Linked DNA regions of Lonchura striata. The protein of the gene in region 3 interacts with the protein of the main gene of each other region in a pairwise test. Links are inferred from orthologs where the notes say so. Each region holds a gene or a part of one and is shown on either strand. Other genes may lie near its edges.

Region 1 (7,117 bases), on a different chromosome or scaffold from region 3:
AACTCACCAAAAAATCACCAAACTCCAGCACAACACCACTGTGGCAGGTCCACCTCCACAATTTTTTATGTGTTTTGAGAAGCAATATTACTGTTTTGATCTGCACAGACCTTTCAGTTGTAACAAACAGCAGATAGCTAATGACTGCTGAAACATATTTAGATTGCTCTAATTTTATAACTGAATGTTACGTTTGCTTATGCGTTTCCCTCTACCTTTGGAATTTTGTTCTGCTTTAACTTAATAAAAGACATTTATAGCCAAGATTTACTTCTTTATGCATGTGATGTTGGTGGTGATCAAGGCCCTTTTCCAACAATAATGGCCATATAAAAGTCCATGTATCTCTGCTTTTAAAAATTGATGGGATAGAAAATTCTCTCTTTCAGACAGGTAATTTTGGGACTGTTTGGCAAAATAATTTTAGTATAGTTCCTTTACCATGCAGAGCTATAAAATCAGGTGTGAGTTCTGTTAAGTTAGATGCCTGTTTTTTCTCCAAAATACAGTTTGGAAATTTAGAATTCATAAAAACTAGGAAAGAAGTAGCAGCAAATACATCTCTTTCATCTCTGTAAACTAAAGGATGCTGTTGAACAGTTCAGAAACACTTAACCAGAGTAATTTCTCTTTTAGAGAACTGAGGATCTTTAACTGGTATATACAAAGAGGACATCCTGCTTCTGGTTCACTTGCAGTGAAACCAAGGATGTGAAATAAACCTTGTACCCTGGAGATATTGTACCTTTGCCTACAAACAACCAGGAGAAGCCTAACCAGAAATACCAGTTTATTGTCACTTGCTAGGACTGACACTTATCACAAGAATAGGTACAAGTACATGATGAAGACCACCCTAAATTAAATTTTATTTTTAATGTAAGGAGTATCTCATAGTTGTGGTGGTATTTCAAAAGTCATGGCCATATCTAGTGGTGCAACACAAAGAGATTAATTAACTTTCCCTTCCTTCTAAAGCTGTTAATAAGCTAGAGAGAGGGAAAATTTTATTACAACCCCTAAAACACTACTGTCACATTCTCATATTAATACTACATTCTTATGTTAAAGCACTGAATTTTTCTATCCTTGGGTCCCTCTAGCAGATCTCATTAGTGGTTGTTTTTGTGGAGATTTTTGTTTTTAAGCCAAAAGAGAACCATAGTAACTGTGCGTTTCCCAAACCATTTCATTCATGAATGGGAAATGAGTCTCCAAATCTTTACTCACATGAGTAACCACATTGATATCCTTAGGCCTTCCATTATTAGCAGCTAGAACTGAGTATAAATCTGCAGGATTTGGATGGGGCACTTCATTACTTCATAGGAGTGAAATCTGTAGCTGAAATCAATAGCTAAGCATGTGAGGCATATAAAAGATACACATTCTTTCATGGAGGTCTGATTGCAATGCATTTCTCAATTTTGTTTCGGTATCAACAAATAAGCATATCATTGTAAAGAGACATACAGACTATAGGCAGTAATTACAAAGACACATTTTAGATAGACATTCTAGCCTCAATAGAGGAGTTGGGAATAGTCCATCAGAAAGAACAGAATAATAGTGAAAAAGGTCAACACTTCCTGAAAAACTAACATAGTAAGTCACAGACCAAGTTTTTGGTTTTCTGTCAATCAGTAACGTAACTGTTGTCAATCATTCCCTCTTACCTTGTTTGTGATTTTTGAATGGCCACAAAAGAAACTTTTGTTGGCAATTTTGGTCTTTACAATTCATTTGAGTCAGAGGCAGGATTTTCAGAGCCTGCCTGTGGAATAGGCATGGTGTACCCCAAGCTGCGCTCACGTATGTCCGACCAATTCAAGCTAAACTTTCCCACGATAATATGAAAGGAAATAAAAGATTCTGAGCAACACAAGTTACTATTCTAGAAATAACAAAAGGAACAGGATAGCCAGGATCTTCTGGTTTAACTTTTTTTTTTTTTTTCCTTTAAGTTGATAAATATATTAACTTTTCCTTTGGAAGGGTGCAGTTAGACAGGATATGCACCTGTACATCTTGGATCTTCTGAAAGAGTATTTCTAGTCTATGCCTAAGCACATGCTTCCCATTACACTGATATTTTGCTAAAAATTACTGCCAAGAATTAAGGCTTCTTCATTTATTTTTTTAAATTCCTGAATTCCCCTAGAATTTATTCTTTCCTCAAGTATTCTCACCTTCCACAGATACATTTTTGTTTTGTTTTCTTTGGCTATCAATTTATCTTGGCCCTGCTGAAAACATGAAAAGATTTGTGAAGAAAGGCTCTCACATAAAACCCAGTTTTGGAGTTGATTCAGCAAAGTAACAGATCTGATAACATCAAAGCAAGAACATCTGAAACTAAGAATTAGGCAGAACAGATTTTTCAACAAATTGCAGCTTCTAAAAATTTACCCATTTCCAAAGAGCCAAGTCTGTTTATTTGCTTATTTTCCTAACTTTGCCAAAAGAAAGGCTCAAACAACTTTGGAAAAACAACAGCAAAGTTGTTCAGCAGAAAGCAGCCCCAGCACTGTAAACAGTGCCTCTCCCCAAACTGCAGCTGCACAAAGCAGAGACAATGCAGGGACCCTCAGCATCATTAACCAACTTCCCTTCCTCACCAGACACTCGCTTCGATAAAGCAATTACAATAGCACCACGGAACAGTAGAACAAGGAAAAAAAAAAAAAAATAACCTTACCAGCTTCTCCTACAGTACACAGCTGAAAGGAAAACAAAACCCCCAGCTGCCGTATCGCATGCAATTGGTCTCTGAGAATGAACTGACTGAAAGAACTATGAAAGGCTAAAGTCTTTCGGCCCCTCTGTTCAGCCTCTCTTCAGCTCCCACTCTCCGAGCTTCCTCACAAAGCCATTCTCCCAGTCCCTAATCCTCGCACAGGAAAAGGCAGCCGCACCGAACGCCTCCAGCAGGAGCGATGCTCCGGGGGTGGGGGAAGCGGGATGCTGCCGGCGCTCAGCCCCGGCCCCGCCGCATCCCCGGGGAGCGCAGCCACAGCGCGCCAGGCGCTGGGGCGCAGCGCCCCGGGCACGGAAAAGTGCCCCTCTCCAGCCATCGCCCTCCCAGCCACTCTCTTCTCAAATGAGAACACCCCTGGGTGCTCGCCAGAGTCCCCGGCATGCATCTCAGTTAGCCTGCACTGAAATAATTAGGCTTTTTTTCTTATTTTAAAATTAGCCACGTGACTTCCTAATGCTCTTGTTGGGCCTTAGATATTTCTTTTTCACAAAGAACACGCAAATAAATCTTAAATATTTCAAACAGGGTAAAAACCCAACCAAGATGTTGCCCCAGAAAATCAATACCAAAATTATAAAAAAAGAGATCCCAACAGACACAAAATCAATAGCATTATGAGGCACCGAATTAAAAAAAACACTGGTGCCTCCCTGAAATGCTTCTGATAGCTACAATCAAAACAAGCAATTGCATTTTTCACAATAAGAGAAGGATTCTATCTTCATTTCCAGTTTATGTAAAAAGAGACAACATTTTTTTAGTACAAATTATCTTGAAAACATGAGACAGATATTGAGATAACATCCCTGCATAGCCTCTGCTTTTCAAGAATGTATTAAATCTTTGTTAAAGAAACACAGTTGTCATAATAGTTCTTAGCACAAGTTTTACTGCTCCACAAGATGCAAAGTACTCAGAAACAGGCAGCTGCCACAAAGTAAATCAAAGACCTAGAAAAGCAGATGGCATAATTTCACATCTTAAATGTTGGCTGCGAGCCTTCCAGTAATAATTTATAAGGAGACTTCCTCCTGCCTGTTCTTCTGCTTGGCAGCATGCTGTTTGAGCCTTTCAAACAAAATAAATAGACTTCAAGCCACCAGCTTCACACACACTAACACTTACCAATGCTATTTCAACCTGACACAAGCTGACTTTGTTCCTCTGTGACCCTGGAGAGAAAACCAAGGTGACAGTTTGATGGATGCGATCTCTTTTCACAATGTGGGTTGTGACTTCACAGTCCTGTCCCCCCATTATTGCTTAGCTGAAGGAGGAGACAGGAGGAGAATCTTCCACCATACAGAGTCATTTTAACAGTGAACCAAACATGCAATAAATGCCTGGAACACATTTTCCTACCTCAAAAATGTGAATTTAAGGGAATCCGTTTCCACTTTTCTTGGAGTTCGGGTGTTAGGGCAGAAGGAAAAGGCTTCAAGAGGAGGAATTAATCCAAATTGTTTATCTCAAACATATTTTAGTTTAAGAAAATAACAACATCACCAGAGAACAAAGGAAAGAAAGAAGGAAAGAAAGAAGGAAAGAAAGAAGGAAAGAAAGAAGGAAAGAAAGAAGGAAAGAAAGAAGGAAAGAAAGAATTTTGTTTGTTTCATTTATAAACAAAGAACACTTTGACTGTGACTTTTGTGAATTATTTCTTAACTGTGCTAATTCAATTATTGAACCATGAATCTTGAACAATTCTCTACTGGACAAAGGTCTCACTGCAGTAATCTGAGGCAAACAATTGCAATGTGATGTCTTTTATTTATTACCTAAAAGACATAATAAAGCATCAGAGGATTCATATATCTTAAAGTTGGTGTCTGCAAATTCAGTATTTGAAAGCAGATTCTCTGCTAAAATGAATTCAGAAATCCTTTTACAAGATATTTCACATAAAAATCCTCCCAGATTTCACAGAACTCTTCATGAAGAAATTACCTTTCCATTAAAAAGGTTGAAAAAGGAAGATGGTGTATGAACTCTGAAATGCAAGGCTCCACCTCCACATTGATCTCATTAACATCCTAATGCCTGTAGTTGGCCTCTGATTTCCTTAGAGCAGAGGACAGGTTGTTAATATGTTTCAGTATTTCTTTCTGATTATTCATCTGATCTGATGGGTTCATCATGAATACTGGAGGGCATCAGACCTCTGATTTTACAGGTGGATACTGGGGCCAAATGACTTGCCTCAACAAAGTCTCTGTCCAGAATAGTTCACCCTTGGCCAGTGATTTTCATGCTCCAGAAGACAATTTCTGAAACCAGGGCCATGTTTGAGATTAAGCTTGATATGGTATGTATTTGTAACACAAATTATGTTTCTATTATTTCTAGTTTGAGATTTGATATTCACAATCTGTCAAAAAAGATGAGCTCCTGTTCATTCTTCCAAAAAATTGTATGGTCTTTTCAAAAAGATGCACTTTGTTTCAAAAGAACAGTATTTAAGTGTTTCCATATTTACAAATATTTTTATTTGAATAGAATTAGACTATCTGTGAGGTAGAACTCAACTTATGATACTGAAAGATAATCAAACAAAAGACAGAAATTTATTGATATTCCAAAAAAAAGTCAAAATCTGACAGATTTATGCAATGTAATATCAGCAATTATCGAGTTTCATCAATTCAAGTAAAATTTTTAGGGGTTGGTTTGTTGGTTTGTTTTTGTTGTTTGTTTGGGTGTGGGATTTTTTTTTGTTTGTTTTGTGGGTTTGTTTTTTTTTTCCTAAGAACCAGCTTAAAATTACACTCTTGGTTTAGGTGACCCCATTCTGGGACTTAGGGGCTACTAGCATGGTGAAAGTCATGTGGTATGAATTTCAGCCTTTGAAAAGAGGTTTTAAAAGATGTACTTGTGAACCATTTATGTCCCAATTACAGCTTCTAAACTTCCACCATTGTTTCTTTGCTTCTCCCTAACAATCTGAGAGCATTCCCATTGTAAAGAAGGAAGTACCTTAAACATTTTAGAAACAATAAGGCCTCTTCACAGACCAATTGATATAAATACATTAGCTCTAAATAAAAATGTTTGCACCATCCAGGAGGTGGTTAACTGTGCTATGCACAAATGAGATGAGCTCTACCGATCAAAAGGAAGAATGAAGCATGAAAAATGCAGCCACCTTTGTACTTGGAAGCTGGCGTAGAGGAACAAGAAATTCACAATGGGACAAAAGCTACAGGCACCAAAATTTTGGAAGAGCTCATTTTTCTCATTCTTGTAGCTTTCAGAGTCATGATAAATATCTGAAGGCATCTGAGTTTTAGGAAATCACAGCAGGTTTGCACACTCTGCTCCATAAGTTTTTCTCTGCTTGCTCACAACCATGTCCACTTATCTGTATAATCTGTCCAAAGCACTTTTTTTTTGCACAATATTTACTACTTTCCATGTTTCTAGGATTAACAAAAAGCATAAGGCTCTTGGATAAGGCTTTCATTTGGATAACAGCCATACACTTTTAATAGCAATCATAAGAACAGTTCAAAGAATCTTTCCTACAAGCAGAGTGGTGCAGACAACTGCACTGCAAAGATTCTAGCAAAACTAAAGATTCCTAAGCTCTTTGAGACTCACTGGTGACTGCACTCTGATTAGTCCAATCTACTGCAGCTCTTTGATTTTTTTTTTTTACCCTAAACTCACAGTAATTCTTAAAGGCAAGTGTAGAAAATGGAATCATAGAACAAGTTGGAAGGGACCTTAAAGATCATCTGGATCATCTGGAGATGACATAGCTTTATAAACAGAAGAAAATGCACATATTAAAGATACTGACTTTTAAGGATTTGATTGAGGAATATGAGTTCCATAGTCAGTAGATGATCTAAGAGTACACTTTTTAATGAGCTCCTTAACACAGTCAGTAAATTTTAAAAGTTTACTATTCAATATTAATGTTGTTTAATGATTGATGCACATATAACACATATATGTCGAATTTCAGGGCTATTCTTTATCTACTTGGACAGATTTTTCTTCTGAGAAAGCAGTGGGATACCAACTCTGCAAACTGGAAGAGGAATGACTAGGCAAGAAGGAAGGAAGAAGTAGCAATGAGAGAACACAGTAAAAAACCCATAATTGGGTAAAAAGGGAAAGAAATTAAAAACTCTGATGATTAGAGTCACTTGAGCAAGAATGTTACCGAAGTCAAAGTTTCACTTGGTTAAGGCTTATCTAATAGCATATCCCTGGGGTTTGATCTCCATGGGTTCAGCCTAAACTGTCTCTCACTTTTGTACCAGAGTAGATGAAAGCAAGGATTCAGCAGTGCAGCTGGGTTTACATTAGGGGTGTGTGTGAAGCTGAGGATGTCTAGCTTGGAACTTCAAAGTG
Region 2 (8,001 bases), about 20 Mb from region 3:
ATCCTGACTGGGATAGACTGTTAAATTACTATGTTGGCCTTTTGCAGGTCTGTTGATTCTTTTTCTACACTGCTTAGCCATCTTTGCAGTAGACAGGCTTTTATTTAGCTAGTCACAAGGTTTACTTGAGGTTAAGCACCTTGTTCAGAGATGGTGCTTTGTATCTTACACTGTTGTACCATGTAATTTCACAGAGTAGCTTATGTTCCACTCTCCAGGCAGTTGAACATCATCTCTGCTTCTCACCCTAGGGAATGACTAGTTCATTGGCCATGTCATGCAATCATATCACAAAAACCTTGGGGACTGTCAATGTTTAATCTGCCCTTAATGAAGCTTGCCAGATCAGCTTACGCTATTTGTCACTATTTTTTTGGCCTGGCTGCCAGAGCCTTGGCAATGATTTGTACTTCTAAAACAAAGAAATAGGCAGGCCTGCAGTTGTAAGTGTTAACTAAAATTGAAATCCATGAGAAACCCAGGCAGAAATCCACCTTTGATCTGTTTCCTGTGTGTTTTAGGCTAGATGAAAACAGTTTAGTTTTAATCCCCATAATGACTATTCCTTGGCTGAACTCAGGCAAGATCCATGCAGGGACTGAGGCCAGATGCAGGGCCTGCCTACTCTCTGGGGTAGACTAGAGTTCAGGAACCCTCAATCTGGAAGAGTTACAACGGAGTGAAGGCTTGTGCACAGCACAAAGGCTTGTTAGTGGCCATGCACAGAGCCAGATTGTGTGATTGTGCACTGAACTCCCTGGCATTTCTGTTTTATGAGTCACTATGCAGATCCCTGCCAGCTCAGGTGGCCCTGCACCCACATTTGTAGACATGGCCTTTAATACCTAATGGCTACCTTAAATACTTCAGGCAGGAATGTCAGCCTTCAAAAGCTGCCTTGTAACCCAGGTGTCTGGAGATGCTAAGCAGCAGCAAGGGCTGAGCAGCTGGGCATCTCCATCATACTTGAGCACAGAAGACACTGTGCCTGTCCTCTCTGAAGCATAGTGTGCAGAGCTCAGAAAGCACCTGCTGAAGCCCAGCAAAACAGCTCCTGCCGTCGGGGGCACAGAAACCTGATTCTGTGCCTAATGAGCAGCCAATTACGAGGCAGAGACTGGACTTTCAAGGTTAGTGCCTTAAACAGCAGCCTGACTACGGGCTACATAGTGGGCTTTGTTCTCTCCCGCATTCCCTTTGCTATTTGCTAACAGCAAGGCAGCAGCTTCAGGAGGATTCCGAAGTTACAATAATCTAAAAAGATACAATTAAATAAGGGAATGTTGGTTATGCTTTTATCTGGCTGCTAAGAGATTTGAGCCCAAATCTGTAATTTTTCTGCATATGGTAATTGGCTCTCATCTCTTCCCCAGTCAGCTTTTTTAAGAAAGGGAACTTAAGAGAATGCGTATGTATGAATTCCAGTTGGAGATGGGCATTTTCCTGCAGTCCAGATGAGGATACCAAGTTCATGGAGAGAATTTAATATCTCACCATTCACAGTAGCTAAGTTAGACAGCTCTGTGCTAACGTGCTGGCTTTTGTGGGTGTCATTCCTGTGGATTGCTTAAGCACAGAAATCTTGGCAGGAGGAACTGCAGACTGCAAGGCACCTTGTGGTTAGGAGCTGACACCCCTGCCTGTGCCTCTTTGTGAATCTGTCTCTTCCTTTATTTACTGCTAAGATTTATTTTCTTCATCCAAAGCATGTTAATTTAATTAGATGGGGAATAGGACTTTTTCACTATAATAGGACCATGAGAGAGAAGAGACTGTAGTATCAAAAGCAATGCAAATCTGATGAGCAGTCAATGCCCTAGAAATATAAGTAACCTGTCTATGTAAAAGCCTGGTATGGAGTTAACTGAGGCAGTGCAGCAACAGATTTCCTTTGGAATAAGTGATGTAATATTGTACAAAGGGTTTCTATTGACACTTCTATCTCTGACCAAAGTTATATATAATATTGTGTTGTGATGTAATGGCATGGGAAAAGATGTGGAAAACATAATAAATACTGATGGAATGGGCGAAAGACCTTTTAAATAACCACTGAAAATCTGCCTTTCTCAGCTGTATGGTAGACTGTAGAGTTGCTACCATGTTCCATGAGGTGTGCCAAACAATGTGCAGATCATAACAACTCAATTATATTTTTTTCTGAATCTGTTTGCTGAGAGGCCATTTTTGCAGATCTTGGGCTGTCAAGAGAAGCTTGAACTCCTAGAGTGAGCTAACTCCCTGCTGGAAGGAAACCAACAGCAAGTTCACAGGTTACAGCTGCATCTTTTTGTGCCTGAGTCCTGCTATGAATGCAGATCTTTCTTTTGTTAGTCTAACTGCCTTCTCAGCTGTATCTCAGCCAGGTCCCTTACAGCACGATTGGAGTTTGAGCTAAGAAGTGTAAGTGCTGCAAATTAACTTACTGGAAGCACACTGGCACTAGTGAAATGTCCACTCCTGAGCTGTGTGTCCTTGCTTAGCCTGAGGAAGCCACAAGTGTCCATGGGTTGGATACTCACAGACTATGTAGATAAAGGAGAGGATTCCAAGTTCATGCTGCTTCCACAATGAGCTGGGTAGATGTTACTTAGCTCAGACCAGAAGTCATGTAACCATGTTGGCTTTCACTGTGCTGTGCTTTTCTGTGTTGGAAGAGTAGGCACAGCTATGAAAAGTAGTTGAGCCTTCTCATTCTATGTCAGTTGTTTCCTGCTTTTTAAAAAAAAAGCTGTTAGATTCATTGCTTTACCTTGCTTTACCTCATTCTCAATTTGTATCTGTTGCTGTCTTTGTGCAATGTACTCTTTGAAGTTCAATGTTTTACTTAGCAAAGTATCAGAACTACATGAGTTTAAGTGACAGCTCAGCTCTTTCTAATCGGCTTAAGGAATCTTTTCATTTTATTGCTTTTCTTTTTGAATATATTGACTTTCCTAAAGCCACTAAATATATGTTTCACTAGACATTGTCTAATTATTCTTTAATTTTGTATATAAGATTAATTCAGAAATGGATGTAGATGTTTTGTTTAAAATATATTCCATTTTTTGTAATTTTAGAAAGGAAAAGATTGATTATAATGCTTTGTGGTTATATGTCCTGTGGGTAGAACATGAGAGCCCTGAGGTTTAAAAGTCAAATGTCAGAGAGGCCTGACTCCTGTGTAATGCTTGTCTAGGAATGTGATACTTGATAAATCCTAAAATTTTCAGTCATGTAAGTTTTGTATCCTGCTGATGCTGAACTTCCTCAAACCCATTTGAAGAAAACACAATGCATCAAATCTTCATTTTTCTGTGTAAAGGAGAGAGAATGTTTAAGACTTTCATATCTTTGTACAACCCTTAAGTTTCACAGACAAAAATGTGTGTTTGTGTGCACAGCCTCTGGTAAAATACTGCTCTGTGATTGTCAGAGTAAATCTCCTCTATAGGACAGTTTGGGTGTTCAATGCAGTTTATGGAGCAGTTTTCTTCTTTAATTTAAAAGTCCAGGGACTTTTGCCCATTGCAGTGAAACTTCTTTGAAGGATTTTATATTACGATATGTCCAATTACTTGTGGCACCAGCAAGTTTTTTGTGAAACCCTGGTCTTGAACACCTGTTTCAAGAAGCCACATCCCAAACAACACTTCACCTTCAGGCAGTATGAGTCTCTTTTGTAAAAGTATGTCCACCACATAAGAAAGGTAGATGCTGTGGGCTTTGAAGCAATGCTTCATGCCTGCTTTGTCACACCTGGAGAGACCCCTTTGCACTGCAGAATGTTGGAGAATCTTGCTTAAGTTTTGGGGAAATGTTCTGTAGGCCAGATGCTCTCTCTTGTTCATCTTCTGAATAGGAGGAGAGAAGAAAAATCAGACTTCCATGTATATTAATGTGGTTCATGCTAATAACAGTTGCTGGGTTGACAGGTCAGGAGAGATATCAATCCACTGAGTCACAATACAGATATCTCTGAGGTAGGATTCGAGCAAAGTTTCCCCAACAGTATTGTTCAAACTGAAATCACCAATTTTGTCTTGAGTTAAACAGGTAGTTTTGCCTTCTTAACCATTTGACTTTTGATTTGTATAACCAGGATAAGGGTTATCTCCAAGGGTGGCTGCAGATAGAGGAAAGATGGGAGATATCTACCTAATCTGTTTCACAAAACATCTGTGATGTTTTGACCCCCTACCTGGGGTCACAAAGCATCTGTGATGTGACTACCACTTCATGTCATTCCCAGCCAGGCAGGTTTTCAGTTGCTGACTTAGAAAACTGACCCTGCCCAGCCCCATTGCTGGGGCCCTAACATCCCTGTCCCTGATGTTATCTGACAGACCTGCCCTGCCCTCCCCACCAGGCTGTGTGTCTCTGAGCTGAAAGTCATATAAACAGCAGTGTGCCTTCTCTATTTCTGCTCTATTGCACGCTACGCCTCACTGACTCACACAGCTCCTTTCAGGCACTTCCTTGAGTTTTGACGTAGCATGATTTCATAGTGTAGGGTAAGTGACTTAGAAGTCGATCTTTCAGTTTTGAGTGGGGTAGATGTAAGCAGTATTTGGGCTTACATCATGAGGTCCTGGTTGCTGGAAGAATAAACAGAGAGAGAAAATTTCAACTCTGCAAGATGCAATATTGATTGCTGCACTGAGCCATGATGTCAAGTATATACTTCCCTTCCTCCTTGCTTCCCACAAGTGCTAAATAATAGACCTTGTTTACTGGCATTTGCAAATTATTTTGTCTTTGTGACTGATGCAATGACGTGCCCCCTATACTCTCATTTAATTTGTAACACCATTTGGATTTTTTTTAATCCTACATTTCTAATACAATTTTTAAATAACTATATTTCCTGCCCCCCAGACAAAACAGCTCTAATTTTATAATGAGAATTTCAGGGTTAGATTATTTTTAAAAAGAATCTAGGCCATATACATTATGTAAGGTTACCATAGTAACAGTTTCTCCGAGGGGAAAACCGACTGTCCGTAGTTTCCACAGAAACCACTCCCTGCTGAGAAGGTGCCTCCAAGGGAAGTGAAAGGAATATAAATGAGAGAGAGAGAGAGACGCGCACAGATGTCATATGACCTCTGCGGCATCCCTGAACTGTTGCAGATTCAACCGAGCGTTTCTGGGTTTGTTTGCAGTTTGTTGTTTTTGACTGCATGTGTGGCACCTTCTCTTGTCATGTAAAGTCTGGCTGCCCTTCCCTCGAGTGGAACTGGTTTTACAGCTGGAGGTACGGCGATGCTCCACCTTGGCAGTGAACTGACCACAGCAGATCCTAAAATCCACTGCTCTAGGAACCGCTGTGCGTGGGAGAATTTAAATGGTAAAAGAGAATTTCCCCTCTTTTTTATGAACTTTTTTTTTTTTTTTTTTTTTGATTGAAAGAATTCAGCAAAGACAGGTATGGAAATGCTTCCTTCCAGAGAGAAACAGGAGAGAAGGGAAGCTCAACTAATTTGTCAGTTAATTGTTTTGTTCTTTTGGGGTACAAGCATACACTGCTAGGAAAAATGTATTCTTAAAGGAATTTAAAAGCCTCAAGTCCTAGGATTTATTAACTGATTAAAAAAAAAAAAAAAAGAAAGGTGAAATGTCTTTAATGTACTTTAATATCACTGAGGCAAGTATGGATTAACATTTCTGAAATCCTTTTGCACTTATTTTTTTCACAAACAGCTTCATTTATTTTATTTTTTTTTCAAGGGCAATAAAACTGTGACATTCATTCAAGGCTTAGTGCAGCCATAACTACAGATTAACGCTCTGGCTACTTCATCCTGTCATCTCTCTGCTGCTTTCTGGGGAAAGCAGGCTGACATGGTTATTAAATCTGGCAGCTGTGTTGTATGCACATGGGAAGCAAGTAGAGCACAGCATATAGAAAATGAGTAGCTTTCAGATAGCAGCCTTCAATTCACTGCTGCAAGACTTGAAAGGCAGTCTAAAAAGCTCATTCTCTTCTTTGTAATCACCAGTCGCTGGATCAGTGCGCAAATATCACAAATACAGTTGCAAATGTAAGTATTCCTTGCCTGTGTGGTGCTTTCAGATTGCTAATTAAGGTTTCTACCTTAGTCTTCTGCTTGAAAAAGCAGAGAGATGAAAGCTGAAAACATCCTGACAGGGGAAGCTTCTCTGCAGTATTGTTCTGGCTTTCAGTGGAAGAGCTGCTGAGGGAAAGGGATGCTTGAAAGCTTTCTAGAACAAATAGTTTGCAGTTGTGTTTGTTGATTTTGGGGATGTCTGCTTGCCATTTTTCTGTGAGGGGAGAAGTCCAGCAAATGCGGGAGGTACTTATAGAGAGATGTTTTTCTACTTAGGTTAGATATACAGCAAGAAAGATACTTCAGTAGTAATTGATGGTTTGTGAGCACGTAGAAGAAAAATTTTCTATGGTATTTTTCACCTGGAATCTTTTTTTAAAAAATCCATAAATGCAGACCTGAACTTCTCTTTAGGAAGCTCAACAGTACCTTATTATCAGAAGCACAAATAAATAGTCATCATAAGGGGCACCAGTAAGTCTGCATCTGACCTGATAAGAACCATGAACATAGCACGGTGAGCAATGCATGTTTTTCACCCATCTCATTCTGTCTGTATATGAAATGATCTTTATCTGCTACAGTGGCATCAAGACAGGATAGTAAGGTGATTGGGAAGCAGTGGAGCTGAAGGTTTCTCAGTGTTGTGGTGATACTGTAAGGAAAAAAATGGATACTTGTCAGTGTATTTTTGGTCTCATAGCACTGAAGAAACAGTATGTTGGTTTTTATTCTCCTTTCTAATTCAAAACTTCTGTATTGCTGTTGTCTTATCAAGTTTATGGCTAATGAATTCTTACTGTGCTGTGAATGAAAACTGCTTCTCGAAAACAGCTTGTGATCAGTACCAAGTATAAATGTCAGATAACTACACAAGAAATGCAGGCTGTAGCCAGTTTGTTTCAATTGCTATGTTGTGTTTCTTGCTTTATTTACAGGTTTGTTATTTCTTGGGGACCAGTGGTACTGTCAGCTTTTCATGAGCCATGTGAAAATGTCACTTGCACAGTTAACAGGTGACTGCCATTAAGTGACTAGGGAGAGAATATATGTGTAGTTTGCTGCAACAGAGGACTAAACATATTCATGGTATAACCCCTAATGATGCTGTAACACAGGTATTTGGTGAATGTTGTGTTTATAAGCTGCTTTTGAAATACTTTGGCCTCATCTTAGAGATGTATATGTATAAATACCTTACTGTAGCAAGTAAAAGCTGATTTTGAAGTTTCCTTCCTCATGTCTCCTTTTTCCCCCATAGACATAAATTCATAGCTTCCCTGAAACTTAGCTGTGAAAATGGTCATATTTGATGACAGCTGTGGAGCTAAGCTTCCCAAGCCTCAGTGGCAGCCAGCCAGCTGCTGAGACAAGTGGTGACCTTTCAGGACAATGTTGCTCACAAAAATGTCAAACTATTAAAATGGCAGGCATCAAATGCCATGTTACGTGGGGAAGGGTACTCATCTGGCAGGATTTCAGCTGAAGACAGTTAATCCACTGCTTCTTTGGATTATACATTGAAAGCCCCTGCCTAAGTCTCTCAGATATAAAGAAATTATTGATATGTGTCCTGAATAATTTCAGAAGTTCTTCTGGAAGATTTGAGACACAGATTAAAAATTTCAGAGGTATTTTATTTAAAATCTGCTCAGACATCTTCCTGATAGATATCCCCAAAAGAAGGTTTTGGCCTTTAATTTTGCTCTTTACATCATATACCAGTTTTCCTCCCAAATCTCTTATCCAGAATGTAAATGATCCTGATGAAGCTTAAGCAAGGTTCATTGATGTGCACAGGATGCTGAAATTCTGATAGCATGTGCACTGACTTTTTAGGCATATGTTCACTGAATATTTAACAATCCCCTGCAGTTCTGGTGCTGCAGCCCTGAGCTGAAATCTCATTTGCTATTATATGCATCGTTGCTTTGTAACTTTCTCTGAA
Region 3 (6,985 bases):
TATGCAGATAAAAAAGACAATTACTGTATTTCTCTGTTAAAAGCTGGGATCATAGAAAGAGAGCTGTAAGCATACCATCGACGGAAAGTGAAGGTTAAATTTAAAAATAGCCTAGTTATATGAATATTGTTTCCTTTTAAAAAAATAAAGCACCATTATAAATGAGCATACAAACATTTAAATGCAAAGTGCATATAAACTAGTAGTAACACAGCTTGTAAAGTTAATCCTTATATGGATATCTCGTGAAATAAATAAAATAAGACTTTAAAATGCTACAGGTTCAACCTGTTTCTAAAGGGATTGAAATCAATATACCTATCTCTTGAGACAGCTTTCCTCTCCCAATAAGTAATCCTCCAGCAACAAAGAGAGAAGATCAAGCCTGACATTTTTGATTTTTCTAAACTAAAGGAGCCAAGATGAAGATGTGGTAGTTTTGTTATGCAAGACATAAAACAGTAAAAGAGAAATAGAATGCTGCATACTGCAAAATTAATGTTTCAAAAATTTAATTTTCCTCTAATCATAGGGGACTATCTCAGTAATTCCAAATTTTCTCTGAGTAGTTCCTATTGATATGAAAAAATATCCTATTGATATGCAAAAATAAAATTAGGAAAATATGGAAATGAAAAAAGATCACCATGAATCTTAACTTGAAGAACAGAAAGCACTTAGTGCTGTCACAAGCATCTTGGAGTCCCCAGGCAGTACACTGGTGCTGGGGGCATCCATAGTCTGGGAGAGCAGAACCATGCACACAGGGCTATATTGGATGTACAGCGAGTCCATTGTGCACAAACTTTGCATGAGCCATAGCCACTTTTCCATGAAAATGTGGGGAACTGTACATATATATACATTACATATATACATATATAACTTGTACATATATACAGGTTGCACGATAGACAGTACTTCCCACATTACATGGGAAATGCCTCAGTGTTTAGGATGTTTGGTTATCTTAGCATTGGCTAATGAATATTGTTAGCCTTTCCATATTGAGAGCTTGGGCTGAGGCCTTACAACCACTGACCCTACCAACTTTCCTCCTGCAATAACCTTACATAGTTTGAACTTCAACTATACCTCCTTCTCCCACTTACAGAAGTCTTTCAAAACAATATGCCAATCATGATAAACAATGCATATATACTCAGAATTGTATCTCCCACTCTACTAGTTGTGTTCAACACCAACGGGCAAAAGCATAAACCAATGTGCAGCCAGTTTGTAAAAGCTGCTATTGAAAGAGTTGTTCAGTATGAGACTAAAATGATGATAGGATCAATGAAAGAACTATCTCTTGAAATCATATATACTACAAACATTTTTAATTCAAAAAATGAGCTATGTTCAATGGACTACAGTTGTACATATAGTGTATGGATTTTTCCAAGGGCAAAAGACTAATGAGAACTTAATTCAGGGCTATGTTATCAACACACAAATATATACAAATATATTTCAGGGACTTCCATGTCTGACTCCCTAAATGGAAATATATTAGGGAGTCAGACATGGAAGTCCCTGAAATCACACAAAGAGGCCACATTCTAAATTTTTGTCTAAACATTATCTTTTTAAACAAATCAAAAATAAAACAACAAACAAGCCCAACTTCCCCCAAAAAACTAAACCAAAGCCCAAAACACCTATTCAAAGTCTATGGTCCTGTTCTACACTAAAACCCTGTAGAATCTTCTGTAAAATAGTAAATTATAATAAAGTATAAAACAGTATAGGAGACATAAAATGATACTCCCAGCAAGTTAATTATGTAAGGTACTGATTTTTATGTAGATTTTGATCCTGGCAAGACTCACTACTACTCTGTTTTACCAGACAAAAAACCCTTTCTATATCTGTCTTTCAGCAAAGAGAAAATTAACACAGTATTATGGTGAATATGAAACAGTTTTGAGATAAGTGAAAAATGCCTGCTTAAGGACAAGGGAAAGGAATAGGGTATACCAAAGAAAAGAGATACAGTAATTCATATTAATTTATTTTTTGCAGTAACAGACTCTGACATTTGTAATCCAAATGAGCACATGAAAATGAACCTAGGTACAAACCAGACAAAATCATTGCCCTTTACCATGGCTGTTACTGGATGTTCACTACCTATAACATAAAAGCATACTCACAGGAACACAAAAGATTTTGACACTTAATAAAGGTCATGCTTTCTACTCCATTCAGAGCAAAATCTGAATATTGGAAGCTTAGCTTCTTTCTGTGAGTTGTCTGAAAAGACATGAAGGATTTAACCAGGAGTTTTTATGTACTACCTTTATTATTTTTGGCTATAGTAGTCGTAGTTGCTCAGCACACTACAAACCTAACTTTCATCTAAGAGGCAAAAAAGACTTATCATCCTTTCTTTATTGGTGACAGTCAAGGGCACAGAAAAGCCATGGCCTACCTCCTCAGAAGGAATTTAAGACATATCAGTGGAACTCAGATGTCTAAATTATTCTGTAAATGAAGGACCAAAATCACACTACTAAGTCATTAAAAAGAAACCAGGCCTAATGCAAAATGGTCCTTTTCATAAAGGTATTGAAAACCTCAGCTGAAAAATTTGATTGTATAATACATTTTAAAGTTTTCATCTGAAAAAAAAATTGATGAACAGATGCAAATGGTACAACGTTTTCGCAGAAAAATGAATTTTTTGAGTCAAACTAGATGGGAAGAGTAAACACATTAAAAGGACTATATCCATCTGTATATAGTTGACAGATTTTAATTTTTTTTTTTTTTTTTTTTTTTTGTTGCTTGTATTTTCTTTATAGTGTATATAATAGTCAAAATGCTGTGTATACTAATGGAGGAATGAACAGCATTTGCAGATAACGCCCCTACCAGAAGTCAACATTTGTTGAGATGAATGTCTGTGTTGTATGTTGTCCTGCACTGCACTGTTAAAAGGGGGCCCGATAAAATGTTCCTGTAAACCTTAATGTCTTGAAAGCCTCTAGTTCCCGAATAAACAACAGTCAAAATCTAATCTAATGTTCTCTGAAAATCTATGCTCTTCGATAACATGCCTTATTTTCTATACCTCAGGTTAGAAGTTATGGTTACTGTTTCCCTAGTTCAGAATTCAGAACAGAAGCAGCATCTGTGGGTGCTCATGTTTGCTTCTGCAATAAAATGTTCATTAGACAGGACTGACCTTTGCTTTTTAATCTACTTTTAAAACACTGTAGCAGAATCTGTGAAAAGAAGCAGTTCCTTTCACTGTCCCCATTATGTAACCTGTTTCTGGGCCTGCAAGTTCTCCTGGTCCCGTGTGAGGAGGCACCAGTGTCTCCAGGGGGAGGGGGGAAGAGGACGAGGAGCAGGTCTGGGAGAGACGTGTAAGGAATAACATTTTTCTCTGCCGAGCATAATGGGGAAAAAAATAGTTGAGAACCGCTGTTACGGGCCCGGGTGAGCAGATTCTCAAGTTACGTGAGAGCCCTCTAGTTCTTTTTGCTCGGGGGCTTCACCAGCAGACATAGCAGCTGCTCCTTGAGCCAGCTGTTTCCTCAGCGACACCTCAGACGTTCCTCCCGCTGCCGCCGGCCCGGTCCAGCCCTCCCAGGCTGCTCCTTCCGCCGTTCGCGGCCCGGCGCCTCAGGGCTCGCCCGCTGCCGGTGCAGGGCCGGGCGGGAGCCATGACGACACAACGGTCCCAGCTGCGCCCCGGGGCCCGCCCGCGGCGGGGCTCTGCATGAGGGGTGCCGCCTCACGCTCTCGCCACGGGCCCGCCCGGCCCGCGACGGGGCGAGCGGCTCGGGCAGGCATCTCCCGGGACGGGCGGGTGGGCGGCCGGTGGGCGAACCCCTCCGCCTCCACAGGTGGGCAGCGCACCCTTCCTTCGTGGTCAGCGGGGAGGAGGCGGCCCAAAGCCCACCCGCCGCAGCCGCCCCACCGGCAGCCTCCAGCCACGGCCCCCCCAGCCCCCCCACCGCCCAGGTGCCGCTCCGGCCGCACTCCCGCGGCCCCTCCTGAGGAGCGGCGGCAGCCCTTTCGCGCATGCTCGGCGCGGGCGCCATTTTGGTAGGGCCGGGAGTTCTCCAGCGGAGCGGCGGTGGAGCTCGCTGGGCCCGGCGCGGAGGGGGCGAGGGGTGCCCGCTGCGGAGATGGCCAACATCGCGGTGCAGAGGATCAAGCGGGAGTTCAAGGAGGTGCTGAAGAGCGAAGAGGTCAGAGCCTCTCCCCCCTCCCCCTGCGCGCCGCCGCCACCACCACCACCACCCTCCCCCGTGTGAGCGTGGGCAGCAGTGGACGGTGCAGGCGCCCCGCCGGCCTTCGCGGGGACCCCGCACCCCCCTCGGCCCCACCTCCCCGTGCCGGAGGTGGGCCCGTCCCACGGCATCTGGGAGGGGAATGGCGATTCCTGGGGAGACGGGGGCCGCCAGCCGCTGTGAGGAGGAGGAGGGGGCCGCAGGAAGCGCGGCGGCAGGGCCCGAAGAGGCTGGGCGGGCCGGCACCCGGCGAGGGCTGCCGGCGGTCGGTGCTCGGGAGCGCCGCCAGGCCGGAGGCCACGGGGCGGTGCGGGTGGGGCCGGCCCGGCCCCGCGGGGACCCCCGGGGACCCCCGGCACGCGCCCTCCCGCGTCCGGCCGCGCGGCTCCGGGAGGGATGCGTGAAGCGGACTGCGGAGGGCGAGGTGGGGTGCGTGATCCCACACATCCCCTTCGGCTGACCCCTTTGGCTCGCCAGTGCCAGAGGCTGCAGGGTACGGGTTTAATGTTTGGGGTTTTTTAGCGGTTGCTATTAAACCCCCATTTAGCTTCCCTGTATACAGAACTTCCTTTATCCCACTGCAGGCTTACTCACCTTTAGATGGATGCTTTTAAAGCCTCACTCATTTCAGTCATGTTACCTCGTTTCCTGATCAGTATGTTCAGAGGTATGTGGTAGTCAGTAAGAGAGGCTGACTACTTTCAGGGCAGCAGTAAAGAAGTTCTGATCAGTTTGGGTGAATATATAGCAGTATTTGCAGGGTTGCATCAATACAGCTTTTGCTGTGTCTGTGTCTGAGTTGGTGGACGTCAGCCAGATAGGTTTTAATAGTTGTGTCGTCATTGTCGTCCTACTTGGGATGATGTTGCAGGTTAGATCTTTGTGAAATATTAATGTGAATATGTAAATCTTAAAGGTGGTGTTCCAGAAATCTGGACGTATTCACAGAGAAAAAATTGAGAGAATAGTTTTTGAAAGGTGTTAATGGCTTAAGGAAAGCACGTTTAGGGTAGCAGTAGTTAATGTACTTTTAAATTGTGTGCTAACAACATTGTTGCTATACATCTTGAGCTAGCCCCTAGAAAAATGTAAGGGCCTTGTTTTACAGCTGCCTTTAGAGCCCAGGCTGATTTTGCCAAGCCATTGCACAGCAAATACAGAACTGCATGGAGACCAAGAGAAATTTCTAGGTGGATACCTTTATACCAATGTTAGAGAATGTAGACCTCATACCCCGTATAACCAGCTGATACTGTGGAAACAAAAAAAGTCTATTTGGAAATTTGGAAATGCTTTCTAAATGCTTCAAAACCATTTCCCTTTGCTTTATGTAGAAAACAAAAAAAGAAAAAAAAAACCTTAATTTAAGTAGGTTTTAGGGGAGGTGAATGGTAAATTTTCTTACTGTAAAGGTTGGATCCAGTGTGCACATTTTTGTTTATTTCTGTTTGTTTAGTCTGCAGGATTTCAGTACAGAATTTTGGAAATGGATATTATTATAAGATAGCCTTTGAGCTGCCTGAAGCTAGCCAGAAAAAGGTCATAATTCTTATAAAATTCAATTAATGGAATTTCAAAATCATAGTACAGCAGACTCTTGACATTTATTTTTCTTCTGCCATTGGCAAACTACATAAGTGTCATGATATATTAGTATGTATAAAATTGCTGTTTACAGACAATACTAACTCCCATGTCTTTAATGCAAAATTTCAGCATTACTCAGTGGTTATCAAAGTTGCAGGCAAAGTTTTTTTTTGTGAATGTTTATACATTCCAGGGCAGTCAAACTATGATGTCCTTATCATTGGGTGTGAAAACATGTGGAGTGGGATGATGAAAAAAGATCCAACTAAATACTACAAATGACAAACAAACAAAAAAAAGTTTTCTTACTAAAATTATTATTAAACCTGGTTTCTTCAAAAAGAAATATTTTTAATGAATGGCAATGCTAAGTTTGTTTTTTGGAGGTTAATAAGTCCCTCTCTGAAAGCAAAGTGGCTCACATTATCTGTTCTTAAATTATTCCTTATTTAATGCTTCGAACTACTTGAAGGGCACCCCCCCACACACACACCCCACCTTTTCCTTGTAGATATAACAGGAGCATAAATGCCTTGGAAGGGGGTAGGCACACAGGGAGAAAAGCACATAGGAAGTTTGTTCTCTGTCTTTTTCCACTACTCACTTTTATGCTGAAATGGATGATGGAACTAGAAATGTTTTTAAAAGGGAGCAGCTGGATCAGTTAATTCCTTCTGCATTTGAAGTACGTGTTGGACGTGCTAAATCCAAATGAAGAAAGAATTCTGTAAAGTGTGTTTATCCTTGCTATGGATAAGGATCTATGAATCCTTGCTACACAGGACTAAATATACTTTTCATATTACTTAGTACTTCCTTTTTCCTTGAATGTAATTTCTGGGAAATAACTAAAATATGAAATATGCTCTCTGGTTTACAGGAAAGAGATGAAGGATCTTCCATAGTTCTAAGTTGAATCTGGGACTTATAGTGTTTTTCAAAAGTATTTAAAGTCTTTTCACTCTTGAGGAAGAGAAAAGTGCTTTTGTACTGCTTGCTGTATTATTTGTAGTCTTGTTATATACATGACATTACGTTAAGAAGTATGGTATTGTTTATTTAAGAGATATCTGTAACTTTACATCTCTTAAATAGTTGAATTAAATAGATAAAACTAACTAAAGTTAGTTTTAGGGGTTGTTAGGAGTGCT

Evidence for each region. The genes of interacting proteins can lie anywhere in the genome.
Region 1: the proteins of UBE2K (region 3) and MID1 interact in binary tests that used the Homo sapiens proteins (3 or more experiments, as listed by UniProt). The link is inferred for Lonchura striata from reciprocal best matches to the Homo sapiens genes UBE2K and MID1.
Region 2: the proteins of UBE2K (region 3) and TRIM2 interact in binary tests that used the Homo sapiens proteins (3 or more experiments, as listed by UniProt). The link is inferred for Lonchura striata from reciprocal best matches to the Homo sapiens genes UBE2K and TRIM2.

Annotation. Positions count from the first base shown.
Region 1 is NC_134604.1:97,753,014-97,760,130, forward strand, and holds the start of MID1 (E3 ubiquitin-protein ligase Midline-1), read right to left. Parts: upstream 3,010-7,117; 5' UTR 2,699-3,009; intron 1-2,698. UniProt on the Homo sapiens protein: Has E3 ubiquitin ligase activity towards IGBP1, promoting its monoubiquitination, which results in deprotection of the catalytic subunit of protein phosphatase PP2A, and its subsequent degradation by polyubiquitination.
Region 2 is NC_134606.1:42,883,605-42,891,605, reverse strand, and holds the start of TRIM2 (tripartite motif-containing protein 2), read left to right. Parts: upstream 1-4,992; 5' UTR 4,993-5,239; exon of another isoform or gene 5,240-5,332; intron 5,333-5,712; exon of another isoform or gene 5,713-6,026; intron 6,027-6,511; exon of another isoform or gene 6,512-6,570; intron 6,571-8,001. UniProt on the Homo sapiens protein: UBE2D1-dependent E3 ubiquitin-protein ligase that mediates the ubiquitination of NEFL and of phosphorylated BCL2L11. Plays a neuroprotective function. May play a role in neuronal rapid ischemic tolerance.
Region 3 is NC_134606.1:22,965,889-22,972,873, forward strand, and holds the start of UBE2K (ubiquitin-conjugating enzyme E2 K), read left to right. Parts: upstream 1-3,972; 5' UTR 3,973-4,142; coding exon 4,143-4,205; intron 4,206-6,985. UniProt on the Homo sapiens protein: Accepts ubiquitin from the E1 complex and catalyzes its covalent attachment to other proteins. In vitro, in the presence or in the absence of BRCA1-BARD1 E3 ubiquitin-protein ligase complex, catalyzes the synthesis of 'Lys-48'-linked polyubiquitin chains.